4 linked regions of the Rhinolophus ferrumequinum genome follow. The protein of the gene in region 4 purifies or fractionates together with the protein of the main gene of each other region. This does not show direct contact. Links are inferred from orthologs where the notes say so. Each region holds a gene or a part of one and is shown on either strand. Other genes may lie near its edges.

The links.
Region 1: the proteins of IRAK1 (region 4) and IRAK3 purify together in Homo sapiens (co-immunoprecipitation; 3 studies listed by BioGRID and IntAct, with this or other methods). This does not show direct contact. The link is inferred for Rhinolophus ferrumequinum from reciprocal best matches to the Homo sapiens genes IRAK1 and IRAK3.
Region 2: the proteins of IRAK1 (region 4) and PELI3 purify together in Homo sapiens (affinity purification with western blotting; 7 studies listed by BioGRID and IntAct, with this or other methods). This does not show direct contact. The link is inferred for Rhinolophus ferrumequinum from reciprocal best matches to the Homo sapiens genes IRAK1 and PELI3.
Region 3: the proteins of IRAK1 (region 4) and MAP3K7 purify together in Homo sapiens (affinity purification with western blotting; 5 studies listed by BioGRID). This does not show direct contact. The link is inferred for Rhinolophus ferrumequinum from reciprocal best matches to the Homo sapiens genes IRAK1 and MAP3K7.

Annotation. Positions count from the first base shown.
Region 1 is NC_046293.1:62,865,476-62,873,467, reverse strand, and holds the start of IRAK3 (interleukin-1 receptor-associated kinase 3), read right to left. Parts: upstream 3,097-7,992; 5' UTR 2,240-3,096; coding exon 2,095-2,239; intron 1-2,094. UniProt on the Homo sapiens protein: Putative inactive protein kinase which regulates signaling downstream of immune receptors including IL1R and Toll-like receptors.
Region 2 is NC_046294.1:5,517,965-5,525,771, reverse strand, and holds the start of PELI3 (E3 ubiquitin-protein ligase pellino homolog 3), read left to right. Parts: upstream 1-4,428; 5' UTR 4,429-4,605; intron 4,606-5,707; 5' UTR 5,708-5,708; coding exon 5,709-5,860; intron 5,861-6,433; coding exon 6,434-6,505; intron 6,506-6,574; exon of another isoform or gene 6,575-7,807. UniProt on the Homo sapiens protein: E3 ubiquitin ligase catalyzing the covalent attachment of ubiquitin moieties onto substrate proteins. Involved in the TLR and IL-1 signaling pathways via interaction with the complex containing IRAK kinases and TRAF6.
Region 3 is NC_046286.1:47,046,299-47,053,726, forward strand, and holds the start of MAP3K7 (mitogen-activated protein kinase kinase kinase 7), read right to left. Parts: upstream 3,258-7,428; 5' UTR 3,089-3,257; coding exon 2,969-3,088; intron 2,871-2,968; exon of another isoform or gene 2,661-2,870; intron 1-2,660. UniProt on the Homo sapiens protein: Serine/threonine kinase which acts as an essential component of the MAP kinase signal transduction pathway. Plays an important role in the cascades of cellular responses evoked by changes in the environment.
Region 4 is NC_046284.1:6,426,854-6,434,116, reverse strand, and holds the start of IRAK1 (interleukin-1 receptor-associated kinase 1), read right to left. Parts: upstream 3,171-7,263; 5' UTR 3,123-3,170; coding exon 2,987-3,122; intron 2,904-2,986; coding exon 2,736-2,903; intron 2,639-2,735; coding exon 2,507-2,638; intron 2,389-2,506; coding exon 2,285-2,388; intron 2,102-2,284; coding exon 1,913-2,101; intron 1,677-1,912; coding exon 1,612-1,676; intron 1,426-1,611; coding exon 1,311-1,425; intron 550-1,310; coding exon 431-549; intron 1-430.

The sequences.
Region 1 (7,992 bases), on a different chromosome or scaffold from region 4:
TTTTGCCCCTGCTTCCAACTTAGGGCCAACTGGAGAAAGCCAAATATGCACCCCTGAACAATCACATAGAATCCCCCACTTTTAGTTAGCCCTTTTACAGTTTTCTCATGTCAATAGCCTACAATCAGGGCATACCTGAAGCCGACTCTTTTTTCCATTATAAAGCTTTTCTACTCTTCTGCCTGCCTTTGTGTCTTTGTCAAATGCAAGTAATGGTGGCTGACTCACTCGCTTTGAATAAACAGCCTTTGCTTGTTCTCATTTGGGTGGCCTTCAATTATTTCCATAACTAGGAAAATGGGGCTGCATGTTATAAATGGTTCACTGAATCCTTGTTATGGCAGAAACGGCTGTAACTTAGGGAGGCTGTAAGATGTAGCAGAGAAAGCACAGCAGTACTTGTAACTCTGAGGAAATCATGGTTGGGAAGTGGGAAATATAGAGTGGCTGTAGGTAAGGGCACAGACCCTAGATCCAGACTGCCATGGCTCATGTTCTGGCTCTAGCTGTGCCAATTTGGGCAAATTACTTAACTAATCTGCACCACAGTTTCCTCACCTGTTAAAACACTGGTGATGATAATAGCACCTGTCTCATAGGGCAATTGGAAGAGTTATATGTAACAACCCATGTAAAGTATGGAATATCTGGATTGCAATGGGGAGAGAGAGAGAGTAGGGGAGGGGATGGAAGGGGAGGGGACAGGAGGGGAGAGGAGAGGAGAGGGGAGAAGAGAGTCAGGAACACTGGGCTAAACATACTGAAAAGCAACAGTCACCCGGAACTGAGTACTACTAGTAACTGTCCCTTTTGGATGAGACATATTTTCTCCCATTTTCAAAGTGTCCACCAACCTGCTTCACTCATTTATGATACCTCCCCGGCCCCATTTGCTACCCAATAGACTAGGCTAAAAACATTTTCTCTCACAAATGGAGGGAAACCAATGGGTGCGAAAACTGCCAATGCCATCATTCATTTCAAAAAGATCAGGTGTGGGAGGGATCTTATCCCTCAAATGCATCCTGGAAATCTCTATGTTTTCCAGAAATCAAAGACTCAAGTATCCTTTTCTGAGGGTTTTACTTAAGGGTCATAATTTTAAAATTATAGGGCTTATATAAACAATTTTTATATAACTGGAAGCCAAATGCCACATTGCAGAAAGTGTGACCATATTTAACAACAACAAACAAAACTTTCCTCATAGATCTTCTGCTATTCTTGGTAAGATAAATAGCTATTTCAGAGAATTAAGGCTAAGTTGTTTTGACATAATTGTGTTTATTTTCAACTAAAATTAAATGTGGCATCATGGAGTATCAAATCTAACCAAAAACGCCTGCACTTAACAAAACAAAGATTTCTGTCTGAATCATTTCTGGTGATCACACTCAACACTTCCAACAGGCAGTTGTGCAACCTTCCAATGACTGCATAAAATGGAATTCTGATGCCAACTTTGGATTGAAACAAAAAGCCATTTTCTAGCATAAATCTTCATTCCATCAAATTGGATGACTATGATACATGTAATTAAGAAAACTGGGAGCCACGTTAATTACAAACAGTATTTTACTTTAGCATTTCACCCAAAATTTAGTTAAGGTGGAGACGGGAATGCACTGAAAACACCAAAGGAGAAATATTAAAGTTATAAAAATGTTATAATATGAAAATTATATTCTAGGGTAATTTAGCAATGACAAGACATCACATCGCCTTTCGGATTTTAAATACTCTGAACCAGGGAAGGCAGAAATAATTGATAAACATTAGAAGGTTTTAGTACGTAGGGTAACTTTTGCCCAAGCATCCTCTCACTTTATCTTCCAGCGATAACCAAAGGTTCTTTGAAAGAGAAGGGAAGGCTCCTGGGAGGCTCTCTGAGAGTTTTGTGTCCTTCCCAAAACAAGGAGAGGGCAGTTAGCCCGTGGGAATCCCCCGGGGGCACGCCGCGGGGGCGCGCGCTCCCCGCTGCGCGGGACCGCGCCGAGCTGCCCGGCAGCGCGGGCGGCCGGTCGGACAGAGCGTGCGCGCGGAGGCCCCCACCACCCCTCGCGGGCCGCGCCCGCCGCCGTCGAGCGCACTCACCCAGGCCGCGCCAGCCCAGCGCGCCGTCGCAGCTGTCCAGGACTGAGCAGACCTGGCCCAGCAGTGCGGGCGGCAGATCGAACAGGAGCGTGTGCACCGAGAGCGCGCCGCTGGCCCCGCAGTTCCCCGCCGCCGCCCAGGCCATGGCTCGGTTGCCGGAGACCAGGGGCCCGGCGGAGGCGGGATGCGGAGCCCAGGTCTCTGCACGCCCGCGAGATGCCGTTACACAACCGCGGAAATCCTGCTTCCACGACCGGGGCCAAGACGGCAGAACACGCCGAGCCGAGGTCCTGGAAGGGGCGGGCCCCACATGACGCAAAGCACCACTCCCCAGAGATGTCCACGGGGACGCCCAGCCTCGCCTTGGGGTCTCCCTGCCTCTGCTGATTCCTTCACGTTGGCTTTAAATTTCAGGCAATCCTTTCATTCCTCTGGGATTGGGACGTGACTGAAGACACAAAGCAAAGAGTGAGAGCTGGAGAAAGACCAGAATGCAGAACTAATGGACAGTCTGCCCCCCCCTCTGCCTGCCTGCCCTGGCATGACCGTCTCTTGAAGTGGATGGACATGAGAGCTGCCATTACTTCTTTAAAAAGTTTATTTCGTTTTATTTTGGTCAGAAACCCAATACATTAAGGAACACTTGGAAAAAACAGAAAAATTAAGAAGAAAATAATCACTCATAGCCCCACTCAGCCAAAGACAACCAACAACCTCTCTAAACGTTTTGGCGTATTTTCCTTCCAACTTCTACTGGATTTAAACAGATACATGTGCATATATGAAGTGACTATTGGAAAAGATGAACACGAGAGAACAAAGCAAAATAAAATTGTGGTCATTTTCTTCACGAAGCTGCTGCCCATTCTACATACTGCTGTTTGGTTTTACTGTGTTCTCTCTGGGATTTACTGATGCAACATTGTTAGCCCACCTTTTCCTTCTTCATTTCGCTTTTAACATGGAGGTTAGGTAAAACTGACCATTGTTTTGAAATCTTCTGCCGTTTATGCTGTAATATCCCCCCTGCAGGCCTGAAACAGATGTTCTGATAAAAAAGAGGAAATCCTTTGAAAGTGGTGAGAAAAATCCCAACCTTAAAGCCTGGAAGGGTGGACAGTGACTACCCACTGAAAAATATCAACACCTATTTGAAACTTTTCAAATTTGTAGTCTTTGGGAATGGCGCCCCCTAGACATCAACCGTGATGGTATGCTATCATTCAGTGCTCTACCAGAATTTCCAAGTTGTTCTCAGCTAAAGTTTTCCACAGCATATATTTGAAAATTGCTAAAGGCAATACCGTTTGGGCAAGAGTTTCTATGTCCCTTTGTTCAAATGGCTACGATTTTATTGTCAATCTGTACACGCTTAAGAAACCCTACACCTCTCAAAGGGATTACCTGAATAAAGTGAGAAATGGAGGCAAGATACGATTAAGTAATAGGTAGGTTTGAATTGCTAGAACAGAGGAACCAAGGTCAGATACAGGAGCCAGGAAATCATTATGGGAGAGTGAAGCAGTCAGCAAGGCCAGATTTTTCTGATTTACAAAGAAGCCAGAATTTTATGTGACAGCCAGATTATATGAACTCTATATAGATTATGTGAAATCTCTTGTATTTTCAGTGTTGGTAGTTAGTGTCAGACCATGCTCTCTCCCTATTCCCTAAAACTGCCTCTGAGTTTTGAATTCTATATCATCACCCTGTATCACTCAGTACACTTCCCTGTTGCTGTCATTCTCTGCTCCCCGCCCCCCACTCAGTTCCTTCTCCTCCTCAATTTTAGACTATGTAGCTCCTTCTCACTATAATTCTTTTCAATACTAATCCCGTCTTAATTCTTGGTGATTAACAATATATGTAGAATAGATGATCTTTGCAATTCCCTGGACTCTCAGTACCTTGACTCCTGTCCTCCGATGATCTTTTCCTCCACCCTATTTCAATCACTCATGCTCATGATCATCCCCTAGAACTTGTCATTATCAATAACTGCACCTCATCCATAATTTCTGTTTTATATTATGAATCCACTCTCTGACCACACCTTCTGTATTTGCCGTGCATTCCCTAGTACTCTGACCTCAACAATCGCCCTGCCCCTTCAAGATACCAAATCCAAAATCTTGCCACCTCATCTCTGATGCCACCCTCTTGATGTCCTCACTTGTCTCCTTATCTATAAAGTCCAGACTCTATTATAATTCCTCCCTTGCATCTGCTCATTCTCCTGCTCATCTCTCACTTTGTTGAACTGCCTTGGCAAATCTACCATCCTGATTAAATCCAAATTTCCAATGTGGGGCTCTGCACCCATACACTTGAGTGTAGCTGGAGTGAAAAAACCCAAATCTTGTTAATTTGACTCAATTTAAAATCAAAGCCATGACTCTCAAGTGGGTCCTTTATGCTGCCAGGCAGTTACACTATGTGCCTTTAGTCCATTTGCTCTTTTGGTCTCCTTGACAACTGTTTTATGCCTTCTCTTTTCTCCTCAATTCTCATCCTCTTCTCCCCAATCTTCATGCTCTGCTGATGACCATTTATGTTCATTGAGAATACTGATGCTTCAGGAGAAAACTTCCGTGTTGTTTTCACTACCGTGTTGACCTACCTACCAGCGTCTGTACCAAAGTAACACTCTGCCTGCTATTCCATAGCTGTATTACCTAGGCTCCAATTTAAACCTAATCCCTTCACTTGTGCACTGGATCCTATTTCCTGTCCCCTACTCAAAGACATCAAGGGCAGCTGTTCTCCTTGCTCTCGGCCCTATCTTCAATTTCTCACTCTTTACTGATCAATTCGATAACCATACAAATGTGATGTTATTTCTTCTCACCTTAAAACAAAAAAATAACTTCTTTGATACCACTTCCCCCTTCTATCAACCACCCAATTACTTAGCTCCCTTTTGTAGTAAAGTGTTGAATATTCTTACAGTCTCCAACTTTTCTCCTCTCCTCTTAAACCCACTCTAGTTAGAACCGCCCCCTCCTACCTGACTCCACTGAAATTGCTGTCTTCAGAGTCACCTTATGTGTTCCTATCATTGCTAAATGTAATGTCCTCATTTTATTTGATCTGTCAATAGTTTTTGACAAGTTGATCACTACCTCCTTCTTGGACACTTTCTTCATTTGTCTTCTACAATCTCTGACATTTTCACTTACTTCACTAGGCACTCTTCAGCTTTCTTTGTTGTCCCTCCTCTTCTCCCTTAACTCTTAAGGTTGGAGTGCCCCAGGGCTCAGTCCATGATCTTTTTCTCTATCTATACCCACTCCCTTGGTAATCTGGACCAGTGTTGAGCCTTTAAAACCACTTATCTACTTAGGACTGCCATATACGAGGTGTGACAATTAAGTTCGTAAACTTGTTGCGACGATATTGCTAACCATTTTTGATATCAGAGGGATTATTCATGATGAATTTGTGCCAACTGGACAAATAGTTAACCAACTTTACTATTTGGAAGTGCTGAAAAGACTGCGTGTAATGGTTAGATGACTTGAACTTTTCACTAACAATTCATGGCTCTTGCATCATGACAATGCGCCAGCTCACACGGCACTGTCTGTGAGGGAGTTTTTAGCCAGTAAACAAATAACTGTATTGGAACACCCTCCCTACTCACCTGATCTGGCCCCCAGTGACTTCTTTCTTTACCCCAAAATAAAGGAAATATTGAAAGGAAGACATTTTGATGACATTCAGAACATCAAGGGTAATATGATGACAGCCCTTATGGCCATTCCAGAAAAAGAGTTCCAAAATTGCTTTGAAGGGTGGACGAGGCACTGGCATCGGTGCACAGCTTCCCAAGGGGAGTACTTCAAAGGTGACCGTAGTGATATTTAGCAGTGAGGTATGTAGCACTTTTTCTAGGATGAGTTCATGAACATTATTGTCCAACCTTGTATGTTTAACCCAGACCTCTCTCTCTCTCTCAAACTCCAGACTCATGTTCAAAATTGAACTCTTGATCATGCCTCCCAAACCTACTCTTACAATTTTCCTTGTCTAGGTTACTCAATCCTTCCAGTTACTCGAACCAAAAACTATAGAGTCATCTTTGACTCCTCTGTTTGTCCACAGCCCACGTTCAATCCACCAGCAAATCCTGTTGACTCTATTCAGACTATATCTAGAATTTCACACTTCTCTCAATCTCCACTGCCACCCTAGGTTTGATTCATCATCATATTTTGTCTGAAGTACTATAGTTGTCCCCTAACTAAAAGCTTTCACTATTGCTTCCTATAGGCTTTCCTCAAAACTGCATCCAGATTGATCTTTGAAATCAAATCTGATTTTGTCTCTCCTCTGTTCAAATGTCAGAGTAAAAGTCAAACTCTTTATACTGTCTGAATTCTCTCTCCCACTTCCGCTCCCGCTGCCCCTCTGCTCTGTGACCCTGTGATATTGTTTCCTTGTTCGTTCTGCATTAGCCACACTGTCTCCTTGCTGGTCCTTGAACACACCAGGAGAGTCCCATATTGGAGCCTTTGCACTTGCTATTCCCTTGCTTGGTATGCTCTTCCCACTTGGCTAAGGTCTACCCTGACTCCAAATTTAAAACTGCAGTGGTCTATGCCTTGAGATTCAGGCTGGCATGTGACTGAAACTGGCAATAACATATGGCTTGACAGGGACCAAGTTTCAAGTTTCATTCAGATGTCTGTTTCTCTGGATCTGAATAGGAACAGTTAGCAGTTCTGGCCATCTCTGGAACCATTTTGCAGCCACATGCAGATCAATATTAGAATGAAGTGATCCCCGAGCATCATCTAGTGAGAGAAAAAAACAGATTCCTGGTAACATCATTAAGTAGCTCATTGATTCTTTGCGTGGAGAATGTCTTCCTTGTGGACTTAAATGACATAAATTACCTTATTAAGCCAGGAATCTCGTTATTTTCAGCCAACCACATACTAACTGATACAGTGAACATACATTTGGTAATACTCCCTGATTTGTTGAGGGCCTATAAAACCCATGGGAAGGAAACTAAACTCTGTTGAAAACTGGAGTTCAAATGTATACAACTATATCTGTGGACTGTGAGATGGGCATGGAAACTGGATTGCAGAGAGAGGCAACTGAGCCCCTGAGAGAAGTGTTAGTAGAGAATGATTCTAGTAGCGTGGTCAGAAACAGTGTGAAGTTCCAGATGATCCTGAGCCTGTACTAGAATCCACAACCTACCCTGCACCCTACCCACCCACTCCCAGCATACATGCCTTCTGGCAAAGAGAGGGCTGTGGTTAAACCTCAAAACTGTTTCACTATGTGACCTAGTCTTTTGCCATGGAATCCTCTCCAACTGCAATTCCCCCCACCCACCCAAATTTTGGATATGAGAAGAAAAAAGTGTTTCCATCCCATCTGAAGGGAAGAGAATTATGAACTGCAAAGATTAACAAATGGAGATGCTGGGGAAACCCTGAAGGCTATCTGGTGACAATGGCACAGGTCTACAGTATTATTAGTGGCCAAGCACAGACTAAGCACAGGCATCAAAGTCTCGGAAATCTGAACAAGTAAGAGAGAAAACAGGTGAGGCAGATAACAGCTCTGAATACATATAGGACAACTACCTTGGTGGCAGCTATTTAGCCAGCATCCATAAGGATGAATGTTCAAAGGACACCCAAGTTTGTGGGATGTAGATTTTTTGGTTTTGAAAATAATTTTCAAAACAAAGATCACTAACCTATCCTATCGTTAAGCCTCATCCTACCCCCGAGCCATAACATAGAGGGTCATAGGTGCCCTGGGGTTCAGGGATAGGGTAAAGATCAGTAATGGGGTGACAACATTTGTAGTGCACGTTTCTTGGTAATTTTAAAAAGTGAAAATTGGATGGTTTCCTAGGCGTTCATCAAAATG
Region 2 (7,807 bases), on a different chromosome or scaffold from region 4:
AGAGATGAACATAATTGCCGGGGAAGCATCATTGGGACTAGGGGAAAGCAGGTGCACTGGGATGCCCCACAGTAAGTATTTAATAACATTGTTAATGAACGGGTAAAACTATAAACAAGAAGGCTTTCAGGATTTCAAGATCTCGGGACAATTTTTAGCCCCTCCTGTGGTTTTTGCTTCTCTCTATTCACCTGCCCTTCCGCCCTATGTCCTCTCACTGGCTTCCTCAGCTCCCTCGGGTTCCGCCCCCTCTTCAATCACCGTGCTGATGGCTGTCACAGCTTCACTAAGCCCCTCTACCTTCTGATCTTTTAGCTGGAACAAGTCCCTACCCATTCAAATTACAGAGTGTGAGGGTTTGATTGAACCAACTCATCGTATTTTTAACATTGTTACTATTATAAGCAAACAGAAAGCTCCTACAACAAGATGTACAGCTTAACCAGCTATTACAAAACGAGTATTCAGGTGACTATCATTCGTCAAGAAACCAAGCAGCACCCTGGACAGCACCCTAACGCTCCCCATGTGCTCCTTCCAGGTTATAACCACTGTCCTGATTTTTATACATTGACTTCCTTGCCTTTCTTTATTTTTACCACCTAAGCGTGCATCCTGAACTGATATACCTTAGTTCGGGCTATTTATGAGCTTTATATCAATGGAATCATACTCTATGATTCCATTGTATGTGTTTGGCTTCTTTTGCTCAGTCATGTTTTTTTGTTTTTGTTCTTTTCTTTTTTTTAGTAAGAGCTATATTGAGATATAATGCACATATCAACCATACAGTTCACCCATTTGAAGTGTACAGTTTACTGACTTTTAGTATGTTCACAGACATGTGTAACCATCACCACAGCAAATTTTGGAACATTTTTATCACCTCAAAAAGAAACTCGTACACTTCAGCTATCACCTGTCATTCTGCTACCCGTCCCAGGCCTAAGCAACCACTACTGTATTTTCTGTCTCTATAGAGTTTCCTGTTGTGACATTTCCTATAAATGGAATCATACAGTATGAGGCCTTTTGTGACTGGCTTCTTTCACTTAGCGTAATGTTTTCAAGGTTCATCCTTGATGTTTTCAAGGTTGTGGCACTTATCAGTACTTCATTCCTTTTTATGGCTGAATAATATTCCATTGTATAGATATATTAAATATTGTTTAGCCATTCAACAATTGAGGAACATTTGGATTATTTCCACCTTTTGGCTATTACAATAATGCCGCCATAAACATTTGTGCACAGGTTTTTGTGTGGACATATGTTTTCATTTTTCTTGGCATACACCCTAGGAGTGGAATTATTGGGTCATGTGCTAACTCTATGTTTAACTGTTTGAGGTACTGCTGGACTGCTTTCTTAGGTGGCTGCACCACTTTACAACCCCACAGGTTGTGTACAAGGGTGCCGATTTCCCTACATCGTGCCAACACCTGCCTGCTTTTTCCTCAATCTACAGGTCATCCTTTCCCATTTCTTTGTATGACTTATAATTTTTGTTGGAAACTGAATATTTTAGATAATATATTGTAGCAACTTGGTTCTGGTCCTCTGCCTCCAGGGCCACTGATGTTATTGTTATTTGCTTGTTTAGTGACTGGCTGGATTATTTTTTTGAAGTCCATCCTCCCCTTCCTGCAGCCCGAGTATAAAGCCTCTGCCCTTGGTCCTTAGGGAGTGCAGCCTTGGGTGTGCCTGCAGTCACCATGGGATGACAATGGTTTGTGCAAGGCTCTCCTTGACTGACTCTTTCCCTGACCACACCCAGCTGTGAAGCTCTACTCATTGCCAGCTGAGTTCTTTATTGTTTTCAACAATGTCTTGGGACATAAATTGCTCCAATCGAAGACAATCAAAGACTGATCCAATCAAAGGAATAGAGTTTGGGTCCCCAGATCTATCTATGGGGGTTCTATCTTTTTCCAGCCCTACCCTTCCACCTGTGACAAGGCAGAGCCCAGCATCTTAGCTCTTCTTTCTCCTCTCCTCTCCAAATTGGTTTAGCCCAGAAAGTTTGTTGTTGTTGCTTTTGGTGTGTTTGTTTTGTTTTTTGAACATCCTTTCTCAACTACATACACAAATATTATTCCACATTGTTTACACTAGCCCCTTGCCTTTGTTCACTTGAACCCAAATATTGAAGAAATCAGGGTTATATCTTGTTCCTTCCCCACCCCCCTTTTGTTTTGAAGCAATAGGGTCATGATCTAGATTGAAGACAGAGAAGGGAGGGGCTGAACAAAGGAATTTCAGAACAATACTGCAAATGTTTATGCCACCACATAGGTCCTATCATTCCCATTTTATAAATAAGAAACCGAGGCCTAGAGAGATTAAGAAGCTGGATTTCTTGGGACAGAGCACCGGACTTAGAGCCAGAAGCCAGCCAAGGATGAAACTTGGGCACCTGTGTCTGTTGGTGGTGTCCTAACTCTCCTTTCTTCTCCCCCATCTGGACAATGCTGGAATCAGGGTCCACCCCAGGCTCCCAGAGACCTCTTGGGATCTGGCTGTGCCCACCATGCAGCTCTGATTCCAGCTGAACCCAGCGCTCTACCACAGGAGAAATCTCTACCTCCTGTGGCGAATCCTGGAATTGCTCTCAACCTTTTCTCCCTGCAGTCTGGTGTCAGGTGGTGGTAGCATTGGAGCTCTGGTCAAACTTCGGATCCATACTCGCCTGGCTTTGTGATCCAGGGCAAGTATACCCCCACCCCCACCCCCACCCCCCCAAAAAAAACACCCAGCCTCATTTTCCTCACCTGCAAACTGAAGATTCTAATAGTAATTCAGCACACATTCACTAAGGGCCTTCTCTCGCTGGCAACGTGCCAGAAACTGGGAGCACAAAGGAGAGTGAGGCTGTGCCAGTGTCCCTGTGGCCTAAGATGGCTGTGCATACCTGGCATGGAAGAGGGCCTACTGTAGGCACTCAGGGATGGAAGCTATCCTGTGGCACAGGACTTGTATGACTGGCTGCAGGCAGCCCAGCAGTCCAGTCTGCTCTGCTCAGTGGTGGCGTCTCAGGGAGTTTCTCTTTGATTAATGAGTGCCTTGTCCTTAAAGGACTTGCAATCGGCAGCTTTCTTGTTTCATCTGGCTGCTGGGGCCTCAGAACAGTTGGCAAAGCAGTTGGTATCCTGAACTATTTTTAGGTGGGGGAGTTAGTGGGGTGTGTGGATGTGGTGAGGCCCCGGGGGTCTTGGAGACTGGGAGTTTTGTAAGCAACAAGTTGGGAGTGGGGGGGAAGGACGGTACCTCTCAGGAATGTATGGGCAAACTCACTTATCCTGCTTGGCTGGGGCCAAAGGCCATCTCCTCTGTACAACCTTCCTTGATTTGCTCAATAAAACACGCACTCCAAAGGCGCAGGTAAAGGGGTCACCCTCTGAGCTTCCCCCAGCTCTTGATTATGGTTCCAAACAGACCAAGCAATAATGAGCTGTAGGGATCTTATCTGATGTACCTCTGAGCCCCATTCTGCCATCGCTAGTCGTAACAACAAGGTATAGAAGTTAGGAGTCCAGACTTTGGAGTGACACAGCTGAGATTCACTCTTGGCCCCGTTCAAGCAAAATAACCATGACCAAGTCAGGTTCGTAAATTTGTTTTCTCATCCGTAAAGTATGATCGTGCTTGCCTCCCAGCAATTAAAGGGCTTATTTTGCTTAAAGCACAGAGGATAGCACCTGACAACACACGACAGACGAACTATCTCGCCAGCCGAGGCCGAAGGGGTTGCGCGCCCTCAAAAGTCTGCATCCCTTTTGTGGCATGACGCGTGGTGTGAGCGTGCTGGCGGGCAGGAGGCAGGTGTTCCTGGACACCTGGCGGTCCAGGCCCGCTGGAGGTCACCCAGCAAGAAAGTGGCCGAGGTGGGCTGGAAGACGGGTCTGCAACTCCAGTCAAACGCAGCAACTTTCCACGTCCTCCCTGCTAACGCACACCCCTTCCACCACCTTCTCTAGTATTTTCCTTCTCTTCTCTTTCCCGCCTCCGCTCTCTCCTCTAATTCCGCGGCTTCCCTATATGGGAGTTGGGGTCTCGGGCGGGAAGAGGAGAGTCCCCGACCTAAGCTGGGGAAAAGGGGCTTTCTGCCCAGAGCGAAGGCCCTAAACTGCTGTGGAGGAGGGGGCGCCCGGCTCTCTGGGAGAATCCGGAGTCCCGAGAAATGAGGGTGGGGTCTAAGGAGCCCAAACTGGGCAAGCCGGGGGTCGCTGAAAGGGCGATGGTGGCCGAAGGAATTCCCGAGACAGTGGTGGGAGGGGCTTTCAGGACCGGGGGAGGAGCCAGGGTGGGGGCGTGGTCTCCGGAAAGGGGCGGGGCTCCGAGGACAAGCTCCAAGCTTCGCCGCAAGAGGCGGAGTCTCGTGTGGGGCGGGGCTTTCCTGAAGGCGGGATCTAGTGGGCGGGGCATAGGGCAGGGGGCGGAGCGTGGCGGTTCGCGCCCGTCCCCCTCCCCCGGCCCCGGGTGTCCCTGTGACGAGGCAGCACACAGCCGCGGCGGGCCGGGCCGATCCCGCCGCAGCGGCCCCGGGGCCGAGCAGGGGCAAGGCGCGGAGACAGCGGCGCCAAGCGGGTCCCGGAACGCGGCCAGGTAAGGCCGCCGGGGCGGAAGGGGCGGGGGCTGCGCCGGGCGGGTCCTGACGGGCGCGGGGTGTGTGTTTGCGTGTCTGGGGGTGGCAGGGGTGTGGGTCCGAGGGCGGGCGTCTGTGGCAGTTTGCGCGCTCGCGCGGGAGGTCGCGGGGCCAGGGTGGGCTCTGCGCCAGTCCTGGCACTGCCCGCGGGGCTCGGGGAGTGCGGGACTGTGTGCGTGCACGCGCGTGTTTGTGTGGCGGGGCCGCCGGGTGTGTATCTGCGTATGCGCTGGGCTGTCATTGTGCCTGCCCTGGGCGCAGGGCGCGGGCCTGCCCCGGCGCAATCCCTCCTGCGCGGGGATGTTTTCCAAACAGGCTTCCTGCGGAGACGGGCTCTGCTGCAGCCAGAGCTGGAGGGGGGTGCGCCGCCCCCACAGGCCTCCAGAAACCCGGTCGGCCCGGGGACTGCAGACAGACACCTGAGGGAGGAAGGGGGCGCGCACCCAGGAGGGGTCCAGAGGCCTACCCGCAGGCGAGGCCAAGATGGGGAGACTGAGGCAGATGGATAGGGAGGTGGAGGTGGCCAGACAGGCAGAGATGGAGAAGAGGGTGCGAAGAGAGGTGGTGAAAAGGACAGAGCCTGGAGAACAGAGAGGCATTGAGAAGAGACAGACAGACAGAGGCCCAGACCTTCAAAGGTGCAGAAAGATTAAGATGGACAGACAGATTCCAAGAACCTGACAGAGGAGTTACTCAGTGGTCCTAGGGCTGAGAGCTAAACCCAGGAACTGAGTCTAAGATAAGGAGTAAGGGTCCAGGCCAAAAAGAAACCTCTGGCCACCCCAAGTTGGTCCATCCCTTTGGCCCCACCAAATTTTCTGACCCTCTGTGTGGATTGTTTCCCTCTTAGTTCCATCAAACCCATCAACTCCCTCCCCTGGTATCCCAGCAACCCTGGCAGTTTAGGAGAGGCAGAGGTGAAATGGTTGCCATAGCAACAGAGGCAGTGAAAGGTCACTCTGGCCTTAGCCTAGGTGGCCCTGCAGCAGGCCAGAGCTGGCATTGAGGGGGGTTGGGATGAGAGGCTGCAAAATTCTTTTTCTCCTCTCCCATTCTGCCTAGAATGGTGCTGGAAGGAAACCCTGAAGTAGGGTCCCCCAGAACCTCAGACCTCCAGCACCCTGGGAACCAGGGCTCTTGTGTCCTCTCTTCTCCCGGTGACGATGCACAGCCAGGCGAGGAGCCCATCAAGTATGGCGAACTCATCGTCCTGGGGTGAGCATCCTTGGTCCAGGTGTGGTGGGGCACCAGGCACCCCCACAGGACAACCTGACCCAGGGCCCCAGTTCTCCCTACCTACGACCTTCTGCTGTTTGTCCCTCTTTACCTTCTCATCTAAGAGACAGAGTTGACCAAACCCTCCTTAATTCATAATTGTTCTTTTATCTTCCCATTTTTCATAAATTACTGAAACAACTTTTAACTGCCCACCTAAGTTTCTGATCAGAAAAAAGTAACACTGCTGCCTTTCATAAAGCACCGTGTGTGTGTGTGTGTGTGTGTGTGTGTGTGTGTGTGTGTAGTCTGGAGTGAAGAACTCTGGTTTTCTAGCAAAGTTGCTTGGTTCAAATCCTGCCTCTGCAAGTTGCTTAACTTCCCTGTGCTTCCGTTTTCCCCTTTTACAAATAGGGATGATGATAATAATACCTCAGAGGGTTGTCAGAAGGAATGAATGAGGTGATTTCCGTAAAGCACATAGAACAGTGCCTGGCACGTATCAAGTGTTCTGGGAGGCAGGCCTGTGCCAAGCCCTTTCATGGACATTGTTTCATTTCAATCTTCACCAAGATGCTGTGAGGAAGGAGGTGAGGAAACCGAGGCTCAGAGAGGGGAAGTGACTGGTCCAAGGGCACACAGCTGGTAAGTGGCAGGGCTGGGATTTGGACCCAGGTCTTTCTTACTCTAGGTCTAGTGCACTTTCACTAAACCACAGCTGACCCTCATGCTACAGATGAGAAAACTGAGGAGAGAGGAAGAGCCGTGAGTTGGTGGCTGAGTAGACCTCCTCCCTTCCTGGTCTTTGCCTGACCAGGATCCCTGCACAACCCACTTAGTTCATCCCCCAGGCACAGATCCCTCTTCCTCCCCAATCCATGTATCTTTTTGGCCTCTCTTTCTGCCATCTGTCCTGAAGAAAACATCTGATAAGCTATCTTATCATTATGAAGATTATGTAGAAATAATGGCTACTGTTTGTTGACATGTACATGCCATGTGCCTTTTATGAAAAAAAAAGCTAACATTTGTAGAGAGGGCTTGTTGCATATATGCCAAACTCTGTGCCAACCATTTTAAATGCTTTATCTCGTTTAGTTCTCACAATGAACCCATGAGGTAGGTCCTGATCAATTGCCCCATTTTACAGAGGTCATGTGATGAGTGGAAGAGCCAGGATTTCAGCCAGGCCCATCTGATCCCCAGCCTGTGTCCTGAACTGCTCCACCCCCATATGTGAGAAGAGCTTACAAGGGCAAGAGTGATACCCGCCTCAGGGGTGCTTGTATTAGACTAGCATCTGCTCACTGTCCCAAAGACATGGCTGGCTTTGCAGCTGAGAGTGAGGCCATGACAGGGGAGATTGCAGACATAGGGTCAGGCCCTTTGGACAGCCGGTGGTTCTCTGCAGAGCAGTGAAGCCCCACACCGACTGTGCATCAGGGCCACCTGGAGAGTGCACTGAAAATACCCAGTGACGGGACCATCCCAAACCTGCAGAATCAGAATGTCCATGGGTGGGGCCACGGATCTGTTTTTTAACAAGCTGGTGAGAAGATTCTGATTCAAGTGGTCTGTGGCTGTATTTAGCATCTATTCGTTCTGTCACTCCTGCTGCGAACCTTCCATGGCTCCCCACTGTTTACAGAATAAAGTCCTGACTCCTGAGCCGGATGGTCAGGGCCCTTCCACCAACTTCATCTTCCCTTACGGCACTTCACCACCTGTCACACCGGACTCTGCCAGCCTCGGGGCCTTTGCTCAGGATGAGTCCTCCCTCCAGAAGGGCTTTTACAAGAGAGGCTGGAGTCAGACAGACCCGAGTTCAAATCTAGACTTTTTCACTTACTAGCCTAGGACCTCAGGCAAGTCATTTTACCTCCCTGAGCCTCAATTTTCCTCATCAGTAAAATGGGAAGAAAGATACTTGCCTGGCAGGACATTGCA
Region 3 (7,428 bases), on a different chromosome or scaffold from region 4:
TGCCCTGTCCATTCCGTGAGAGATCACGATCACTGTCCCTAAAGCTTACTGTGGAAACAGGGCATAAATACTGGAAACAATATATTACGTTTTCATTTTAGAACTGAAAAAGAACTTAAGTGATCTTTTTCAATCTCTTATGTTATGTGAGAAATCAGAGGACAAGAAAAATGAGGTGTCTTGCTCAAAGTTACTGAAATATGTTATGGCAGAATCTAAATTTTCTAAATACCAAGAACACTTCTCACCATATCACACCACTTTTACCTCTTCTTGCAAGCTAGTTCCCAAAATGTACATACCTCAGAGAAATTACTCTAACATTCTCTACACTCAGATCCAGAATGGTAAAAACTAAATGACTTAAAACAAAAAGTATCTATGTAGATTTCCAAGGCTGAGACCTTTCATAATTTGATATCAGAACTGAATTTAGGAAATGCCACACTGATTATAGAGGCACACTATTAGGGATGTAAGCATTTAAATCAGCTGATGCCTTAAACATATGCATCAACTAAACAAATGACTGTATATTTGGTCTGTGGTTGGAGTATTTTTCTTACATAGTTTCAAAATGAATCAGTATACGGATTCAATTACAATGTTATTTCACAAATTTGGAATATGATTTTCTTTATTTATAGGCTATACTTATACAAAATATTAAAAGCAATGTAAAATACTTTCTGTTTCTGGTCTTTTTCTGTTCTCTTATTAATGATTTTAACCTAGAAGCAGAATCTAAGTTGAGAAATAGTTACTGAGTACCCATGGTGCACTCTGGATCATATACCACAATTTTAAGGTATGCAAATGAAGAAATCTGATGAAAATTATGTAATGGCTGCAACATCAGAAACATCCAAATATAATCTTTAAAGGGCAAATAAACTGGGTATTTAAAAAAAAAAACCCTAAATGATTGCCTAATATTAGAAATTTTCATTTAAAAACAAAAAACTACATCTCAGAAATGTCCTAAGTATACCAAAGAAAGGTTGAAACATTATTTAAACTGAAAGGTCTTTGGAAATATAAAAACCTAGTTAGAAGTTAAATGGCTTTGGGGGAAGAGCAGCAAAAAGTTACTGTCTCCTTTTAATAACTTTCATTCCTCCAAGAAGCGAGAATGTAAAATGCTTTAGAAAGTAGTGTGCAGAACCTAATGTTGTAGGGATCAAATGATGTAACTCAGTGAAAGCATTTGGTAGACCATGAAGTACAAGTTATTATTATATAACAATTTGTAGTCTACAAGCATGACAGTTCACCACAGAGTAGACGTAAATGCTTATTTAAAAACTGCAATTCTTTTATACTGACTCACTGAATTTTTATTCTTAAAAAAGAAAGACTCACTGAATTTTTATTCTTAAAAAAGAAAGAATGTTAGCCATGAAAGTTGGATAAACTATCCACTTCTGAAAAAGGAATTTATCTTAGCCTCAATAGAAAAAAACAAAACAAACATATCCACACACAAAAATCCCCCCCTTTTTCCAAACCACAGGTCCTTCTTTTAGCTATGTGACCTTAAAGCAGGTCACTGTTGTACTCTGGAACTGTTTCCTAGTAATATGTGTCAGGCACTGTGTTGGGTGTAATGCATATGTTGCCTAATAGCATCTGTTATACAGGTAAAATGAAATAGAAATTACCCCTATTTTACAGTTAAGGAAACTAAAGCTCCAAGGGATTAGTTAGGAAACTTGCTCCAAATCACACAACTATTAAGTGGCATAGCTAATATACTGGACCTTCCTCTAACTCCAAAAGGCCTCGTTCTTCCCATTTAAACTACCTTGTAAAATAAGGTTGTTCTCGGTGATCTCTAAGGTTTCTTTATGGAATAAAAAAATATGATTAAGTAACCTATTCTTCTTCCAAAACATTCATAGAAAAGAAACTTATTTGTTAAGTGATAATTATCTTTTAGCTTGTCACTACCTAAAAATAATTTTGGATTTTTAAAATAGAGATAACCAAAAGTCTGTAATATAGGACATACAGGGTTCTTCGTGGAATACGTAATACAAAGTACTTAATAAATTCTAAAACTGATAAGTAAATGGTAACTGATAGATACTATTTTCAACCAAAGGTTTAACACTTTGCAAAGTGTGTCTTTAAAATATATACAATTTTTGCTTTTCTGTATGTTATGGTCCTTAGAACCAATTTACTCCTCTGAATTTGAAAAGCAGCAATGTATTACAGGCACATGTTATTACCCTTAAACTACTGCAAAATAAAGTATAGATTCGGGTTTTCTAACAGCGATTTTGTGGTCTGGTGTTATATTCTAGTTGTCACCGAAATCATTAGTTATCGCCTCAGAATACGATACTTGAAACATCTTTTCATCGCACACCAGTGTATATTACTATTGTTGAAATTCATCTGACTTAGTCCAGCTGAAGGCAGAACACAACATTCCCTACTGCTCCTAGGGAATCGGCGAAACAAACCATTCGATCCTCGGGGAAACTGTTAGATATAATGATGTATTAATTTACCAAGCATTTACTGAACACCCACTACGTGCCAGGCAGAGCTAATGTCGAATATAAAGTACAATCCTTGGCCCTTAAGAACACCATGTCTTAGTGAATCGAAACTCCAAAACGGCCACGGGCTTGGATGAATTTACTACTTACAGATGAGAGAACTGGTGGACCACACTGTCTCACCAGTTCATCCTCCTGTTTGAGATGACCCAAATCCAGGCACCGGAGTGTCAAATCCAAACTCAAGAGTGCCGAAGTGAGGGAAAAATAGAGCTACCCCCGAGCAGTTGAACGCGGAGAGTCCGCTCTACACCCGGTCTCTGTGGGGATATTGGGACTCCCCGGTGAACCCCGAGGGGCTCCGTGAATCAGAGGGGCCGCGGAGGCGCCTTAAGAGTCGACAACAGGTAGAGGTGGGAGCGGCCGGGGCCGGCGCCTCCGTGCCGGGCCTCGCTCACCTCTTCCACTTCGATCTCCTTGTAGTCGATCTCTTCAAAGTTGAGGACTTGGGAGGGGGCTTCGATCATGTCACCGGCCGAAGACGATGAGGAGGAGGAAGCGGCGGAAGCTGTAGACATGATCCCTCGCGGAGCCCGGGGGGCCCGGGGAAGCTGCCGCCCGGACACTCCGGGGGAGACCCGCGCCCACCCGCCTCCTGACCGACTTTCAGCCTGGAGCCACGGCGATCCGTGGAAGGGACAGGGGCAGCGGCCACAGCGGAGTCCCCGCTCCGGCTCCGCTGCGTTTTCCGCCGCCGGGCCCCGCCCACTAAGCTTCCGGTTCCGGCCTGAAATCGGAAACAGGAGGAGGGTAGCGAGCTCGAGGGAGGGGAAGTGAGAATTTTTTTAACTGAGACTGAGAAAGGAAGGACAGTTTTGGGGGTGGGGCGGGGGAGGGTAAGAGGCTAGCTTAGATCTGTAGACCAAATTTCGCGAGATCTTTGTTAAAGGGCCTCAGCAATCGGATGATACCGCGAGAGCTGACGCTCTGACGTAAATCAAATGCGCGAACGGAAGTAGCGCGGAGCACGATGGAATGTCTGTGCGGTTGGTCCTTTAGGAACCAGCGGGAAAGATAAAAGCTATGGTTTCACCTCTACTTGGTGAAGTATGTTATGGCCCTGGTCCCTTTTCTCGCAGAGACCTGCAGACGGCCGGGGTAGTGTTGGACTGAGTTTATGTGATGAACCATTTTAATTTCACCCCTAAGCTAAGCTGAACTAGTTCTTTAAGAAGCCTTGGAAAAGGTGTTTCCCTCAGTGTGGTTTATGGAAGGAAACAGTTGCTACTGTTACTTTGAGTCAGTCTCTGACTCGGAGAGAGTCTCACGAAAATAATACAGAGCGAGCCAGCGCATATAATCTGGATAACAGTATGTAGGCTGAGTTCTCAAGAACAGAAGTTAATATTAGATAAGGTAGAAATAAATAGTTTGACATAATTTGTTATGTTCATATGAAGTTATGGGTTGCATTAATATTAATAATACATACGGAGTGATAACTTCCATAACTGAAGTTTTTTTTCTTTTTCTTTTTTTTTTTTAAGATAAAGTTTTATTGAGCCAAAGTGCTAAGCCAGAAAGAAGACGGGTCTTGGAGCATGGAGTCTAAACCACCAGAAGCATGGCTAGATAGAAAAGAGAGCATGTCCATCCTCCCAGAGTTTTGCAAGCGTTTTTATACATCAAGTAGGGGGAAGGGACAAGAAAGGTAGTCTTAAAGAATTTACATTAGCTGTAGGAAAAGGGTGGGAGGTGAGATAGGCGCAGGGTCCCCATAAAAAATGTCCGTTTCTGTAGATTGGCTGTGGGCACCAGTGGAGAAAGCCCACATGTAAACAAGTGGAGCTCCTGGAGTTGGATGGTGCCTGGTTAAAATCACCTGTAGTAATAACCACCTGGAAATTAGTATAAAGTTTCAATAGGCAGTACAAAGATTGTGAGCAGTCTTTTGTTAGCTGGCGAGCAGCCATCAACAGACTAACAGTTCTGTCTCACTCTCCCTACGCTGTAATTTAGAACATTGCAGAATTTTCTCCTTGTCAAAAACAATTATGATCCTCACAAGCTTGTAGAACTTAGGTCAGTGTATCTCCAAGGCGGAAAGTATTGCCTGTGTTGTACTATCAACACAAATTTTAGTTTTGAACTAGCTGTTTATTTAGTCAATTTGAGTTGAAGTTAACTAGGATAATTGGAGTTAGAGATGAAGGTTTCAGACCAAGGATGAAACCCTGTGAATGTCAAATTTTAAGTCTCGGTAAGAGACTGAAAAGGAACAGAAAGGGGCAAACGGGAACGGTGACCTGAATATCACTGGAGGAGAGCTTTCCAATTAAGAAAAAGGCAGCCAAATAAATGCTGTATAGACGTAAGTTAAACACATTTGGGACTGCAAATAGGGTATTGGATTTGGCAATCAAGAAGACAGGAACTCCTGTGGAAAACATTGTCATGTTTTATTTGTAGTTCCAGTAACACTCGATAGTTTGGTGAATGGATAAAAGAATGAAGGAATAATTTCTTATTCCACACTCTTTGGATAATTTTACTCCAGGCCTTGACTTCCTATACCACTTTTATGATGACTCCCAATCTCTCCCAGTGCTCAAATTTTTCTTGAATTCTGGACCTATTGGACATCTCTATTTAGATGATAAATAGAAACCTAAACACCTTTCAAACTTGCAAAAGCAAATTTAGAAGTTATCACCCACCACAGATTTGTTCTTCTGTGTGCATTTGGGATCCTTTATGAAGGATCCCATCATCTACTCAGTTGTCCAAGTGAGAAATGGCTTCAACAATAAAGGGGATTAATTGGCTTAGTTAAGTGGAAAGTCAAGAGCTAGAACAGGCTTCAGGTGTCATTTGATTTCTAAAGTTAATAATAGTATCAATAATGAGTTTCCATGATTGCTTTCTGCCTTTTGTGGTATTTGTCATTGCTCTAAAACAGTAGTTCTCAACCTTTTAAAATATCATTGCCCCCTAAGGAGTCTTTTAAGGCTATTTCTAATGCCCCCCAAAGCTTTAATACCACAGATAATACTGTATATCTGTTTATGTACTGTGTACATATTTCTGCTTTATACATAAAAAGAGTAAGATTTTTTTCTCCCCAATGTTCACCCCTTGGAGGCGATTTTACCCCCACTGAGAATGCATGCTCTAGCAGTTTAATTTTTCATATGACATCACACTTTTCAGTACAATGACAGGAAGCACCTCTTTTAGTAGCTAGTTATCTGAGAAGAGCAGGGAACTTTCTTTTTTAAAAGACTTTGGCAACTGTACCCTTGAGTGAGGAATGGAGGACAGGAGGTTTGAGGCAAATATCTTGTTTAGCTTAGATCCAGAACTCACTAAAGCAGGGGCTTGGAAGAGGAGCAGCTGCTAATTAGGAGAAAAATCTGAAGATTTAAGAGGCACAAAGCAGGGAATGGTTGCTGGATATGCAACCAACATATGTTTATTATTCAGAGGTCTGCTCTATACCTAAAAAGTGCTGTCTTTACTCCCTGTCTCAGAACCAGACTAGCCAACCTGATCAAATATTATTTCCAGGAAGTTCTGAAATAGTTTTCTGCCGTTTTCCCGTGTTTCCCCGAAAATAAGACCTAGCCGGACAATCAGCTCTACTACGTGTTTTGGAGCAAAGATTAATATAAGACCCGGTCTTATGTAACAGTATTGGCCTGCTGATAATAATTTAATTCATGGAAATGAATGAGATCACCTACAGAAGTGAAAAAGAGTAGGACTTAAAACAGATTTAAGAAATAAAAATTTTAAGGCATGGGTAGAGGAACTGCCAAAGAAATTTGTGGAAAACAAAATTATGATGAGTGGAAACCAAGATACAAAGGTTTTTCAGTGTTGAATTCTTCCAAGAAGTTAAACATGAGAAAAACTCAAAAGTGACCAATGAATTTGGGTCTTGAGGGCTAGCCAATGGGTATCTCTTTGTGGGGAGGGAGTGTGAGTGGGCTCAGATGGGTAGGTCAGGGTGTCCACATGTGGGTGTGTAAGGTTCCTTGCAGTATAGAACTGAGTCCAGAGTAGGAGGAGATGGGGGATAAGTCAGGAGCTGAAGGCAAGTTTTGATCACATCACTGCATTCTAGTGAAGTTAGTATTGTCAAGGTAGGAAGATAGAATGTATTTCTTTTATAAGTTGGTTATCTTGAGTTAGAACTTATGAATATTTAGACATAGAATATGTGAACCTCCATTTATATTTTTCCCCTGGGCCCCATAAAAGGCTAGGAGAGGCATGTTTTTTGCATGTTAGATTTCTATTCCTATGTACTAGTGGTCTACAGGTAGGGTGTTCCCAACTTTGATTTGCGATTTCCTGTAGTTGTCTCTATCTTAACACTTACGAAATGTGATTAGAAAATCAGTGAATGTTTAAAGAAACCTATTACAGTAAGAGACACATTGCCATTAATCCCCCTCAAAATACTCTCCCTCTCTTCAAACACACTTATCCCTTCGTTCTTGCCACTTTCAAAAGCAGTTCTGGAAGTCCTCTTTTGTGTCTAGTTGTGCTGTCATGGCAGCCTCAATATCCTGAATCAATTCAAAACATTTACAATTCATGGTCATTTTGACTTTGGGGAAGAACCGGAGGTTGCATGGTGCCAAATCTGGTGAATAAGGTGGATGAGGACATACTGTAATGTTTTTATTTGGCGGAAATTGACATACCTCAAGCGATGTGTGACACAGAGCCTTTCTGTTGTGATCACAAAATACAATGAATGCTGCTGCCGAGTGCCATGTGATGCAAAGGCAGGGATCTTTGATATGGGAAGCAGCACATCGAACCTTAGTAACAGTGTGTGACAAGTTTCAACTTGTTCAGTGCAGTCAGGCGGGTGTGAGCTACGGTTGAGAGAAGATGTGTTTTAAAG
Region 4 (7,263 bases):
CACCTGCCTGGCCCTGACGTCATCGGACTTCGGACTGCCAACCTGCACCCTGCTCACAGAAAGCGACTAGTGCTGCTGGATCATTCCAGCTTCCTTAGAGTCTCCAAGCAAGCAGAGCCCAGTGCACCCTTGCACAGCTCGGCCCCACGAGTGGGGCATCCTTGGACTCCGCTTCCACACCTGTCCCACCCATGCCAGTTACTCGTTACCCAGGGCCCCTAGCTCTGACGTCCCGTCCCAGGGCTGCACCATCCCCACCTCTGCCTCGAGCAGGAGAGGGCAGACCTATTTTCATGGGGGCACTCAGGGCAGGGTTCCTGGGGACCAGACGCTCTGCTGGTGGAAGGTTTGGGGGCATCATGGGCTTGCCATGGACTCCGCCCCTGCAGCTCTCAGGGGACCCAGGGGACTAGCTGTTTCCCCTCCTCACCTCTTGACGTCTCCGTGGATGAGGCTGGGACTGTCCTGATGTAAAAACTGAATCGCCCGGGCGGTGCCCAGAAGGATGTCCAGGCGCTGAGGCCAGGAGAGTGGGGAGCAGGCCCGGGCCTGGAGCAGCAGAGGGAGCAAAGGGGCACAGGGGGTGCTGGGCGCCACCATTCCTTGACCCCAACCCTCCCTCCACCTGTCACCACGGGGTCTGGACAAGCACTTCACTCTCTGGGACTGTTTCTCCTTCTGAAAAATGAGGAGCAAAATCTCCATGAGTTATATTACAAGAGGAGCGAGATTAAGCTATTCCCACTGCTTTGTAAAGCATGCTGGGAAAATGGCTGAGAATGTGCTTTCCAGAGTCATCACAGAATTCCGCGGTCCTCAGTTCCTGAAGTTCATTCATTTGTCCCAGGGCGATCAGGATGTCACTGGAGGCTTTCTCTCCACTTCTCCCAACACAGTGTGCAGTTCGCCCTTGAGTCTTGTGGGTGTCTCGCTAGACAGGGCCCAACTGTGGGTCCAGACAGTGCAGCCTGCTGCCACTGCCCCATTTCCCCAAGAGCAATACTGACAAGACCCTTCAGCTACTCTGCTTGCAAAGGGAAGAAGCCCGAGTCAGGTTACTCGGAGTCAATAACCCCATTTTCAGAGGTACCATGGTCCCAGGCTCCTGGGCACGCAGAACAGCCAGGAAGAGGCCATGGGAAAGAGTTCTGGGGCAAACGACATCGCACCTTGGGCCAAACCCTGAGCCTAGGCCCTGCCTGCCGGTGAGACCCACTCACGGAGGCTGAGAGCTCAGGCGCTAGGCCCCATGCCCCACACCACTCAGACGCTGTGGGTCTGGGGAAACGTGCCGGGCCAGGTAAGACTACCTGGAAATGGAGGCGGTCTTCCAGGGAGCCATTGGGCAGGAAGCCATAGACGAGGCAGTAGTAGCCACTTTGAGCACAGTAGCCAGCAAAGTCCACGATGTTTGGGTGACGAAACCTGCTTGGAAAATTGGGGCCTGAGTGCTCTGCCACCCAGTCTCCACCGCGCTTTCCATATGGCTGTGTCAGTCGGGGGTGGGCAGTCCCTGCTGGTTTCTCAGCTAGGCTGGGCATGGCAAGCTTCGGGGGCCTGAGGGAGCCAGATCCCGTGGTGCATGGTCCTAGAGGGACATCCCAGGCTCACCGTGACAGCTGCTCCACTTCTGTCAGGAAGCTCTGCTTCACAGTGGTCCACTCCAGGTCTGCCTCCTGGAGCCCCCAGGGAAAACGGGGGAAGAGGGGCAGCATGAGGCTCTTGCAGCCAAGGTTCGATGGCCACTCCCAGTGCCATCTGTCCTGGGCCCAGAACAACCAAGGGGCTGGGGGGGGGCTTGAGCTGGGGAATCAGAGGGCTGAAGGAGCTGTGTGGGAAGCAGGGGGTTGGACCAGAAAAGTGAGGGTCTGCTGCTGGCCCTCCAGGGCCCTCGCTGGGATGCTAAACCCACCTCCTTCAGCTTCTTCACTGCATACACTGTGTTCCTCAGCACAGCCCGGTACACACACCCAAAGCCACCCTCTCCGATCTTCAGCTCCTCTGAGAAGTTGTGGGTGCCCTGGGAAATCTCATGGAGGGGCCAGCAGAATGGAGAGGGGTGGGTACCTTGCAGGAGGGACACTGGGTTCCCTGCGCTCTGCTGTGGGAAGAGACCCCAATCAGGTAAGGTCCTGTCTCCTCCCCTCTGCCCTGGCCACAAGCTACCTCCATCCCAGTTGCCTCCCAGCTGGCCCTGCTGGGCTGGCTGGGGATCCCTGGTGTACCAAAGACTGGGTTTCTTGTTACTTGTTTGGAACCTTTCCTGGGGACAGGACCCACCTACCTTGGTAGAAGAGGATAGAGGTGGTGGTGGTGGTGGCCGGAGGGCAGCAGGGCTTGGGACACGGCCGATCTCAGGCCCAGAATGAGCCTGGAAGCCTGGAAAAGCTTCGTAAAGACACCAGTGAGAGGCAGGCAGAGACCAGGGGCAGGATCTACAGCCATGGCCATGGTCAAGGTGGCCCTTTTCTCAGGTCCATCAAGCCCAACACTAGGGCTGTCTTACCTGGGGAGAGGAGAGTGGAGGCTGACGACTGCAACTTCCCGGGGCTGGGGGCCTCTGCTTCAGAGGGTGCAGAGAGGCTGCTGGGTCTCGGGGAGGTGGTGCTGGAGGGTGGGAGGGGGGCGGGAGGGTGCCCTGGGACGTCAAAGACAGAAAGGATGGTTAGGCCCAGGCAGGGGGAGGGGCCCCGTGAGAGGCCTCCGGTCCTGGGGTCCCGGAGCCGCGCACTCACAAGCCGTGATGATGTCCCGCGCGCGGAGCAACTGCAGGTGCGTGAGGATGCGCACGAGGTCGGCCACGCGGGCGTTGCGGTTGATCCAGGGCCACAGGACGCTGGCCGTGCGCTGCCCGGAGCGTTCGCACAGCCGCAGCTCGGTCTGGTCGCGAACAATCAGGGCGGCTGCGGGGTGGGGTGCGTCAGGCTTGGGCGCTGGGTCCCGCGCGCCCCCCGCCCCGCAGGTCCGCCGGCCCGACGCCACCCACCAAACTGGCACCAGTCGCTGGGCTCCAGGGCGTCCATCACTTTGTAGAAGCGGCACATGACCCAGGGCGGCACCTCGTACAAGAAGTGCTGTGCGCCCGGGGCCGCGGCTTCCTCCGGGCCCGGCCCCCCGGCCATGGCCGCCGCCGCTGCCGCCGCCGCCGGGCCGGGGCCTCTCGGGGCCTTCCGGGGCCACGGCGGGCGCGGGCCTCGGCCGGCCGGGTCCGCAAACACTGACTCACTTCCCCTTTAAGCCGTCCTCGTGCGACGCCCGCCGGGGCGGAAGGGGCGGTACCCGAGACTCCGCCATCTTGCCCGCTGCCGCGGCCGCCGCGGCCACCGCGGCCCTCGGCCACACGGGGGCGCCACAAGCGGTCCCTTCCCGCGGAGGCAGCGCCACTGCGCGGGGCCAGGCGGGCAGGGCGGGCTTCCAGGAGGAGGGGTCGTCTGAGTGGGGCTCTGACGGATGGAGGAGAGCCGTTCTCAGCAAAGAGGACGGAGGCCATGAGGACGTCAGCCGCTGGGACGTCCCCTTAAGACGTGTCGACTTTATTTGGAGACAATGGAGAGCCGTCAGAGATGCTGGAGGGACAGGGTCAGATGGGGGTTCCACAAAGGCCCCACTCCCACCCCCTGCTCACTCCCGTCAGCTGGCCCGTGAGGTCGGGTGCAGGGAGAACGGTTTGGAAGCTCGTACCCGCAGGCTGCCCCGGCTCAGAGCATTTCCGCCCACCTCCTGTGCCCTGGATCCCGTCTTTTCCCTCCTGCAGGCACCTGCATCAGCAATTGTTACCTCGTAGCAATATCTGCCACTCTTCCTTCTTTGCTGGCTCCTTCCCACTAGCACATGAACCGTGCTTGTCTCTCTTAAAAACAAGGTTTCAGCTCCTCTTGTCCCTCTTCCCTCTCGTGATCACGTTTCTGGCTCAGTCTGCGCTCCCCCTGCGAGGGCGGCAGTCAGGCCTCTCTCTCCCACTCTCTTTTCTGAGGCAGTGGCCAGGCACCAAGCTCAGTTTGGCGTCTGGGTCATATTTGTCTCTCTTGCCCATTCCCATAGTGCTCTGCAGCCTCCATGGCTCCACTCCGCATCAGCAGCCACTATGTTCCTGTCTTCTCCCCAAACATGTCCGGAGTCCATCTCCTCCCCATGGGCCCACTGCCTTCACTACTACCTCTTACCTGGATGAATTTGCCGGCTCCCTCATGGCTTCCGCGCCTCATGTCTGCCTGGGTGCTCCTCCTCTGGCACAAATCAAGCCACAGGGCTTTCCTGCCAAAAGACTCCTGTGCTTCCCGGAGCCTTCTGATGGGTCGCAGCTCTGGACTGCAGCCTCCATGGCCGTCACCACATGGCCCCTGCACACCCACCTCATGTCTAGCTCTGCACACACCAGCAGCCGTAAGCCATCCAGAACTCCTTATGATTCCGAGAAAGCGCCAGGCCTTCTGTGTCCACGAGTTAGCACGTGCAGTTTCCTGGCCGTCATGTGACAAGGTTGAGCTCAAACAGCTCTCCAGGTGGAAGCTAGGGTGCAAGCTCCCTAGGGCCCTGTGGCAGAGCTGTCTGCAGCCCCCGCTGTGCCTGGCATCTCTGGTGTGCCCTTCTTGAGCCTCCCCCAGTAGATGGGGAAGACCCAGCCAACAGTACCAGGTGCCTTCTTCTTTTGTTTCTCCAGCTAGAGGCATGCTTGTTGCAAGGTAACAGTTCTTCCCTGACCGTCCATCCCCCTTGTCCTCTCGATTCTGACCCCAGAGGGCTCCCCACCCCAGGTTGTCCTCCCAGGGACTCGGGGATGTTTGCAAAAACCCGCGCCCAATATGGGCGTCCATTGGAACCTCTTCCCAGAAGTGTCAGCCACTCCCACAGAGGGGGCCACCCATACCCTGAGGATGGGAATTACCATGCGGATACACACACACTGAGCTCTAAGGGAACAGACGCTTGGCCCTACTTGCTCACTGCTGGACTGCAGCTCCCTGGACAGGCCTGGCACACACAAGATGCTCAGTGCACACAGGTTGAATTTCAACCCTTTGTTTTAACGTTTAAGGCCAAGGCTTTCGAGTGCACCTTCTAATAGGTGCGTCCACCTTTGCGCGTGAAGCTGGACACGGAGCAGTTGTCCCCTCCAGCCCAGCAAGGGCCTGGTGAGGATGACCGTGCGGGGCAGACAGCTCCAGAGAGGCCAGAGCCTTACGGGGAAGCCAAGGGGCACAGGCAGGGTGTGACACCTGCAAACCCCAGTGATGACAGCGCCCCCCTTGGGCAGGGAGCCAGTTCAGCAGAGGCTATGGGAGGGTCTCAGGTGGTAGGCACAGGAGGAGCCTGAGCTGGGAGTGGGCTGTTTTTCCAAAAGCACCTGGGCACATCCCGACCAAAGAGGCACCCCTACCGTGGCCCTCAGGAACAGGGAGGTTGTGCCACTGTTCTGCAGCCCGCCTGCCTCTTGACCTAGGGCACGGCGGGCAGATTTGTGCCAGGCCCTTCCCAGCCTGCCACCCAGAGCTTCCCCACACATGCAGGAGCAGTGTGCCTGGCAAGGGCGGCCTTGGAACGCCCAAGGGGAGGTGGTGTATGGAGCAGGCTGCCCTCTCCTCTCAGGGCGGTCCTGAAAGTGGCTGGCTCTCCTCTGTTCAGGGACAGCCAGACCGAATCAGGAAACACACCACCATGCTGTCCTGTGAGCTGTCTGATAATGAAAGCCCAGACCTTGAGTCACTTTCACAGAGAGATTTATCGAGAATGCTAACAGCACAGGATACAGTACTTCCCAACAAAAGGTGCAAACGCGTCACTTAGAAAGGCATGCTGAGTAGTCTTTGCTTTCACACGTATTAAAAAACTTACAAAAATAAAATAAAACTGCGTGCTGCCCATCTTTTCAAATAGTAAAAGAACCTTATGAAAAAATCACTTGATTTTACAACAAAAGACACAAACGGACATTTTTATGTAAATTTATAAGGCAAACTCTTTATATAATAAATAGGTTACAGGGATTCAGTGGGGGGTGTTTTTGAAACGTATACAGGTACATTCAGACAGGTTTACTGAAATGGTACAAATTTCCTTAATAAATTGCCTTTTGTTTTTAAATATATCAGTGCTTTCAGTCATTTGGCTATACACAAAGAACCTTTTTTTGAACACTACAAAAAAGCAATCAATATTTTTTGTTTTTTAAAACGACCTACTTATTTCCTAAAGTAATTGTCCCAAAACACAAAAACTGAAGGTGAATGTGATAGAGGGCTTTTTGAGACATCTCCAGCCAAGTCTGTCCTGGGCGGCTCCCCGCGCCTCACACATACCTCTCCCACCCTCAGCCGGGCTTCCCTCTGCACAGGGTGGCTGGCCTGTGTCACTGAGACTTGGGGGGGGGGCAGCCACCCTGCCTGGTTCTACCCGCTACCAAACCCCACGTGCAAATGGTCACTACAGTGAGTACTACCCTCACCTTCGGGAGGAGGTGCCGCCTGGCGCGAAGTGAGCACATCTCTGTCCGTTCCGTGAACCCAAACCGTCTGGTGGGGGGAACAGCTTCTCTGAGAAGGGTCTGGCTTTGCCATGGAAAGGGAAGGGGGGTTCTCACGTCCAAATTTTGCTGGGAATTGGATGACAGCTAAGAGAGCGCACCCTCCGCATCTCATCACACGAGATGGTGGGGACTAAGATAAGAGGTCACGTTAGTGTGGGGCGCTGCGGGACGGGGTGGGATGTGATGGAAGTGTCCTACTAAACGGTAATGCCCGCTACCTGGCCTGTCCAGAAAGAGCTGCGTCAGGCGAAGAGTGGCCAGTCTGCCCCGTCAGCATATACCTGACCTGTGGCCACAGCAGAGGAGGTCTCCAGGGAGGTGCCCACCCTTCGTCTGAGCCATGGCCGTTCAGGCCCACCCCAGCCTCCTACCAAGGCCAGGCCGGCCCTGCTCACACCCTCCTGACTCCCCTCGCAGGAACATGAACCTGTCTGTTCTTAAAAATAACAATGATGCCAATAATCTTGGGGGGGGGAAGGCAAAAGAATCCACCGGGTGGAACAAGACCTGGTTTTGCTCTGACTTTGAAAATGGCAACACATCAGCTATTCGGTCCGCTGGCATAGGCTTAACTCCTTTGGGTGGCTTCTGGCTGATCTGAGCGGGGGCCATCTCTCTGGATCTCCCCTCCTGGGAGGGGACATAGGACAGCCCCTCTCATCTTGGTCACCATCCCCACCCTCCGAATTCTTTTGTTTGTAAAGAAAAGGTGTCTAGAAGCATTTGTCTCTGGAACAATT